2 linked regions of the Caenorhabditis elegans genome follow. The protein of the gene in region 2 interacts with the protein of the main gene of each other region in a pairwise test. Each region holds a gene or a part of one and is shown on either strand. Other genes may lie near its edges.

Region 1 (3,169 bases), on a different chromosome or scaffold from region 2:
TTTCAAAATAGATATAATGTGTTTTTTCTATTTCTAGCGGCGTGTACTTCAACATTTTTTTGTTGATTTCCGATAGTTTTGGAAACATTCTGAAAACTCGTAGTTGCTTATCCAATGTAAAACTTTCCAAATTCTCAAGCTATCTAAACAGAAATTAAAAAAAAACACGGGCAGTAAAAGGGTACCTGTGGTCAAGACTGACAAAACTTTCGAACCTGATCAGCTACAGGAGTTTAAAATATATTTTCTGAAAGTAAAATTAAAAAGGTTTTTGATATTTTTTCAACAAATGTTTTTTCTTTGAGATGTAACATTTTTCATATTATACCTACTGTTTGAACTGAAAAATGCTTCAATTTTTGCAAATTTTCAGTAACAATCATAGATTTTGAATGGGTTTGATATGGGGAATATACCAATTAACTGATTTCAAAAAGTTTCATCAAAATTCAAACTCAATTTTTCCAATTTTTTTCGAAACTCTATTTGAGATATTTGGCTAAAAATTGTTTTGTCCGGCTTTGTTCAAATGTGTCAAATTAGTTTATTTAACATAATTACTCACAGAGCCTGGGCTTTAAGCATTTTAAATTATTCGTAGAACTTAATAGAAACCAATGAAATTCAGTACTAACTCAAAAAATCTTGGTAAAATTAAAAGTTTCTAAATAAAACTATATCCAAAGATTGGTTTAATTGCATTAAACAATCTTTTTTACTGTTTTCTTTCAGGAAATTAACTAAAAATATACTTTACTGTGCTCGTTTTTGAGATTACGGCCAGGTACCCATTTATAGCCCGTGCGGTCGTCTCCCCCCTTCTTCCCTTCTTCCCACAGGTCCACAACGCCCCCTGCCGGCAGCCTTCTATAGGAGACGATCTGTAATGGTCTCCCTCCTGTCTGTGTCTCCGCCTCTATCACGCTCTCTCTTTCTTTGCTCAGGGGAAACGCCGGGTCTTCGTTCATCCAACTTCCCAATTGTTTTTCTGTCATTCACTCCTTTTTGCTTATACCCCCTTCTTGTGAGTACATCCCACTCTGTAGATGTGCTCCTTGCTTGACAAACCAGGTCCGCAGTCCGATTTAGGGGCTCGTGTTCTGGAACAGTTAAGGAAACCATGCTCTGTTGTATTTAGCTGGTTTCGCTACTAGCACTCCTTTTTTGTCCTGAGTTGATCGTGTTTGAAGCGGATTTCCGATCTAAATTTGTATAAATAAAAAAAACCTTTTTTCAACAAAAAAAAACAACAAAAAAATTCAAAGAAAAGAGATTCTTCGACTCTTCTCGACTTTTACTTAATTTTCACTCGACTTCTAGAATAATTATTCTAGAAGAAGTACGCTTTCCAACTTTCCTTCTCTTTTCTTCTCATCCCAATCCCTTCCCAAATCCCTACACCTGTTATGTTATGCATGCTCCCCTTTGTGTTTGAACATGGATCGACGGATCGAACGATGGATGGATTCTCTGGAACTATTACTGGAACAGTCTCTCGTGCGTCGGACAATCAATGGACACTGCTACATCCCTCTCTCTTTCCCCCCCCCCCCCGTCTTTGTTGGAAAGTTATTACGAAACTTCTGAAATCAGAAGTTTCTCAATCATTTTCTCATTTAGTATCAAACTTCTACAAACAGAAGTTTAAATATAACACCGCTAAGACAACTGTCTGAAACGGGAGATCGGAATTGAGGCTTAAACACATCATACACCGTATTCAGAGGTAGCGAATAAAGGCTAATGACCAACATCATGCTAGTACTTCTGTTCCTAACGAACAATGAGAACCGATGTTGGGCCCATACTGCGATACGATCGGGCGGTTCTTGCTCTATGGAATACTTGGGTGATGATGTGCAGTTCTTACGGTGTAGAGCATCACATGAAGAAGCAACTCCTATTCAAAGCTATCGTCACCACCTGCATAATCACCAAGCAACAGCAAAGAGCAGAAAAAGGACGACCGTAAGACGTAAGATTTTGTTTATTTTTAACATTTTTGATTCAAAAATCCCAAATTTAGTTCTCAAAAACCAAAGATTCCAAAAAATTGGAATCAATTTTTTTTGCCAAACCCGAATTTTTCTTTTTAAAAAATCCTGAATAAAAATTTCTGAAAATTCAGGATTTACAAAAAAGCCAAGAGCTAAAGATTTCAGTGGATTCATTTGGTCGGGTATTTCGGAATGGCTCCGGCCACAAAATGTGCCTTACAAACATGTGTTTTCCGCAACTATCACACGGTTTGGAAATGGAAAACATCGTTTTACAAGGCACGGTTTTGTGGGCGGGGCCAATCCGGAATACCCCGACCGAATGAATTTCCCCTCGGCATTCTTCCCAGAAGGCCCAAAAGGCCTTCTGATGAAGTGGGGGGGGGGGGGGGGGGGAGAGCTGACCGCGTGCTCTTCTACTTCCCAGGAGCACACTTTTCGAATATACGGCCCCATGTGAACAACTTTCTTATCAGAATCATTATTTCCGGTAATTATAAAAGTGTTTTTTTACAGAACAGAAGAAGAAGGAACGAACGACGACGGAAAGAAGACATGGACAAAAGGTGGCGATAGTATGGAGTTGAATTGGAACGAGATCTCACTCAAGATCTCGAGCGACGATGGATCGGGATGGATCGAGATGGAACGATAGATTCGAATGCGACGATCGGGTTCGGTGAACGGGATGGATTCTGGATAGACTCGGGATGGATGAAGATGGATCGGAATGGATCGGGATGGATCGGGATAGATTGGGATGGATCGGGATGCATCGGGATGGATTGGGATGGATTGGAATGGATCGGGATGGCTCTGGATGGATCGGGATGGATCGGGATGGATTGGGATGTATCGGGATGTATCGGGATGGATCGGGATGGATCGGGATGGATCGGGATGGATCGGGATGGATCGGGATGGATCGGGATGGATCGGGATGGATCGGGATGGATCGGGATGGATTGGGATGGATGGCATCGGGTGATGGCGAGAACAACGACGACGACGACGACAACGACGACAACAACAAAGGATTGGCATGGTTGGATCGGGAGAAGGCGAGAGCAAGGACAAGGACGACAACGACAAGGACAACAAAGGATCTGAATGGTAAGGAAAGATTTAAATGATGCTTCAGCTAAACTGATTTTTTACAGATCTACGATAAA
Region 2 (4,583 bases):
AAATTCTAAATAAGTATTTTCAGTCCAATACTGTTGCTGTGGCCTTCCCAATCAACAAGCTCTGCGATAATCTCCGGATCGAAATTGCTGCCGCTGGATGGACAGAAGCTTTGAACTTCGCATTGTGCAGCCGTGACGACATTTCTTCAAAGCTCCGCCAGCCAGATGCACTTTCTCATGCAGTTCATATTGGAAATCCAAAAACTCTTGAATTCCAAGTTGCTCGAACATCCCTTCTTCCCGGACTTTTGAAAACACTGTCTTCCAACCGAGACATGCCACTCCCATTGAAATTGTTTGAGCTTCAAGATGTTATTGTGAAAGACTCAAATACAGATGTTGGAGCAAGAAATGAGAGAAGACTTGCTGCAGTGTACTACAATAGAGCTGCTGGTTTCGAGATTATTCAAGGATTCTTGGATCGAATTATGAGAATGCTAAATGTCAATCCTGCGCGCGACGGAACTGGATACTACATCGAAGCCGATGAAAGTAAGATTTGTATTTATGAGTCCTTATAATTGAAATATGCTACTTTTTCAGATTCAACCTACTTCCCAGGACGGTGTGCCAAGATTATCGGTCCAAAGGGAGTCGTTCTCGGACATATCGGCAAGTCATATTTAAAATGACATCCTTTTAATATTTAATATTTTAGGAGCTCTCCATCCAGAAGTTATCACCTCCTTCGGGCTCACATTGCCATGTGGAGCTGTCGAAATCAATGTGGAACCATTCCTTTAAACATATTTTTGTTACTTCCCGGTTTTTGGTTTTGTTATTGCGATTATTTATGGATTTTTCCTCTGAAATGTGGTTTTTAAATATTTCATGCTTGCTGTTTTTCTTTAATTAAAATGTTTCAACTAAGAGTTTTCATATTGGTTATTTCATTGTCTCTCGGTTTCATCCGTGGTTTTATCTACTCAAAAATTCTATGTGTCTCGTATTTAAAAACTGTAATTAAAGATGTTGGGTGATTGCCTCCTGATTATTGCGATCGCGTTCGGAACTGCCCTTGCCGGTGAAGGTATCACATGGCTTCTTGTGTATAGATCCGATCACTACAAAAGACTGAAAGCTGATATGGACAAGAAGACGAAGAAATTAGAGAAGAAGAAGCAAGAAGTCGGGGACACCAATGATAAAAATATCAAAAGAAAGCTTGAGAGAGAAGAAGAACGATTAAAGGCAACTAACAGAGATATGAGCATGTTCAAGATGAAATCAATGTTCGCGATTGGACTCGCGTTCACTGCACTCTTGTCTACATTCAACTCGATTTTTGAAGGACGTGTTGTCGCCAAACTTCCATTCTATCCAATTGGATTCATCCAGGGTCTTTCTCATAGAAACTTGGTAAGCATCGTTTGAAAAAAAACTCTGATAGCATGTAGTAAACTCGGTTTTTATTACTTTATTTTTTCAGATTGGCGAAGACATGACTGATTGTTCGTTCATTTTCCTTTATATTCTCTGTACCATGACCGTTCGTCAAAATCTCCAAAAAATCCTTGGATTCGCACCATCTCGCGCTATGGCTCGCCAACAGTCCTCACCATGGGCTCCACCAAACTCCCAAATGAACTATCTCCGTTAATTTAAGTAAAACTTTCACTTTCAACTCATGTGAAACCTATCTCTGATAATAAGCACTATTTATTTTCTTTCTCTTCCCAAAATTTTCAATCAAAAATCATATTTATTCTGTAAGTTTCAACTTCTGTGTGCTGCTCAATCATTCGTTTCTCAATGATTTTACTGGAATGAAATATATTCGTATGTTGTGATAATGAATACCAAGTTCTGTAATTCATTTTTTCTATGTTATTTCCGGGTTTAAATCTCTGGAATATTTGGAAATTGTATTCCACGAAAAATTTTGGATACTTTAACATTTTCAGTGAAATACAGAAAAATGAGTGACGAAGAAAAAAGACCGAATAGTCCCTCTGGATCAGAAGACAAAAAGAGCAGAAAACGGCATGTCTCACCGCAGCCTGTACCAATTCCTGGAGCTCAAGAATCGAAAAATACTCCATCGCTTCCACCATGGGTGGCTGGAGGATCACCAGCAAAGTTTGTCAGTCATGAAGAATTGATGAAAATGACAAATGAATTAGAAAATATGGAGTTGGTTCATGAAATTGCAATCGATCCTAATTTTCAAATTCCCGATAAACCAACAAATGCAATTCAACGATGTGTTCAGTGAGAAACTCCTTATTTATTTCAATTAAATAAATTAAAATTTTCAGAGAATCAATGCACAAGGCCTACTACAATCAGCTACGCCGGGATCTTGCCAAAGATCCTCCTGAACTGGAGTACTGTTTCAGTTTTCTGATGGAAGTCAAAACTGTAAGATGTTATATGAATTTTTAAAATAAAATTTCAATTTTCAGATGATTCTGGATGACATTTTAACTGCCCAACATACACGTTTAAAAGCTGAAATCAACTCGATGCTTGACGAAAGTAAATTCAATTTTTATTTTTTTTTTTTTAAGTTTAAATTTTTTCAGCTGCTCTACGTGGCAAGTTAGACCAAGGCCAGCTTGATATCAAGAAAGTGATGAAATATATTGTTGACTTATGCTCAAGACTGTGCTCTCCAGCCCGAGATGTGAAAGTTGCCGAATTAAGGACCAGAACTGACGTTATTGATATTTTCGAGTGAGCAGAAAATAAATGGAGAGAAATATTTTCTATTTTGTTTCAGAGGAACGATGGATCTTCTGGAGCTAATGAAAAATGATTTAACCAACTATCAAATATCACAGAACCGTGCGGCCATCGAGGAATACTCATCAAAACACGAATATGACATGTTTCAGAAATTTCTGATTGAGAATCCGAACGGATGTTATTTTGCCAGACAGTGGCTGAAAGCTGCATATGACGAGTTGTTTGAGAAAAAATTAGATGCTGAAGGAGAGGAGACATCAGTGAAAAAAGAGAGAAAAAATGAAGATACAGATACAGTCTTAATTGATACTACAAGTCGAGGTTATACTAAGTTAATTCAAGTCAATGAATATGATGGATTTCCGGAAACTTTGAAAATCGACAAAATCAAGATTGAATTGCTTGCGGAAAAGTTTTTGCAAATTGTTATGTGTGCATCATCTGTATTCGTCACATGCAATGTAGCAGGGAAACAAATTTCTGAAAGTGCAGATTTCAAGAAAACATTAAAAGATCATTTGATTGTAATCACAAATAATACAGACGAAGAGTGAGTCGCTTTGATTTTTATTCAAAGACCATATACAATAAAATATTATTTCAGACGAATAAAATCCGATCTCGAGAAAATCGGTGAGCAATGTGTGAAAGAGGCAGTCGACACGTCGAAGAAGCTGAATATCGAATGGAATACTGAAAGCTCAACATCTATTCGAAACCAAATCAACGCACTGATCAGCTCAGATAATCCTATCAGAAAGCTGGTTCATACCAGAGTTTCCACATTTGTTGAAGAAATGCTCCGAAGTCCAACTTCTGTTCCACATCGCCTACTTCCAGGTCTTTCTGTGATTCAATCTGAATTGTGTGCTTTCACATCGAAGTAAGCTAATTGAAGAATGAGAAAGTTGTTTGTGAAATTATGCAAATTTTACAGATTCCTTCGTCTCTGTGTCCACAACCGGAAGACATTTTACGCGATGTATTCCAACCTCATCCAGGAGTTTCAAGGACATACTCCTTCGACGCATGCAATCTATCGTGCTGATAGTCCCTCTTCTATGCCTGGTCCTAGCACATCTGCCTAATTCACAGAACAAAAAATCTGAAATATTTGCCACTTGTTATTACTGTAAAGTTCCAAATTCCGATCTTCAATATGCTTTGTGACATAATCTCATGCTTCTGATGGTTATCATTTATATATGTCAGCATTAATTATTTGGTTTCATATATATGTTCAATTATTTACATGAATTGGTGAGTGAGTGCTCGTTGTTCAACAACCTCCACAACTTTTCAAACAGTAAGTCTTCCTCTCGTCCAACGTGTAATAAGTGGAGTGACAGAAGCCATTTCGAGCCCATTTTGGACAGCTTGAAAGGAAAGGTCGAATTATGGAATAGTTCATTAATTTCTACAACTACATATTTAAAAGCATTTTCTAATAGCTATATTTTTCGATTTATACCTCTGAAACGAGTCACGACAACGAGATGTTTGTGGAAGACGAACAAATTGGGGGCAGAAACCACATGTTTTAGCACATTGACGCATCATTATCTGAAATAATAATACATGTTTTTCAAAACTCATTTTTTCCTCTTGAGCACTCTAAATTATTAAAATTTTTCATAAATTCAGCTCTTCCGTTTTATGAACAGTGCTGTGAAGTTTGGTATTAGTTGCTACAAAAGTTCCTACATCGTGGCAAGGCCCATCGAAAAAGCTATCGCGTACATTTAAAGTGAAGTCTTATTCTTTACCAATATTATTATGCTCAACTTCCCCAATTACTACTGAATAAATTTGGATTACAAACCCAAGAAAACCATTTGCTTTAATTTTCATATTTTGTGTTTAAAACTTACAGTCTTATACTCGTTTCGCGTGCA

What was found.
Region 1: the proteins of M05D6.2 (region 2) and Y13C8A.1 interact in a two-hybrid assay, tested with the Caenorhabditis elegans proteins (one large-scale study listed by BioGRID).

The regions. Positions count from the first base shown.
Region 1 is NC_003284.9:16,881,890-16,885,058, forward strand, and holds Y13C8A.1 (uncharacterized protein), read left to right. Parts: upstream 1-1,836; coding exon 1,837-1,975; intron 1,976-2,513; coding exon 2,514-2,584; downstream 2,585-3,169.
Region 2 is NC_003280.10:8,466,205-8,470,787, forward strand, and holds M05D6.2 (T-complex protein 11-like protein 1), read left to right. Parts: upstream 1-1,904; 5' UTR 1,905-1,918; coding exon 1,919-2,211; intron 2,212-2,258; coding exon 2,259-2,361; intron 2,362-2,405; coding exon 2,406-2,478; intron 2,479-2,525; coding exon 2,526-2,676; intron 2,677-2,722; coding exon 2,723-3,238; intron 3,239-3,292; coding exon 3,293-3,571; intron 3,572-3,625; coding exon 3,626-3,776; 3' UTR 3,777-3,958; downstream 3,959-4,583. Other genes in the region: fars-3 (Phenylalanine--tRNA ligase beta subunit), read left to right, coding at 24-492, 544-612, 659-744; F22B5.10 (Calcium load-activated calcium channel homolog), read left to right, coding at 970-1,359, 1,430-1,600; M05D6.8 (ShKT domain-containing protein), read right to left, coding at 3,968-4,064, 4,160-4,251, 4,560-4,583.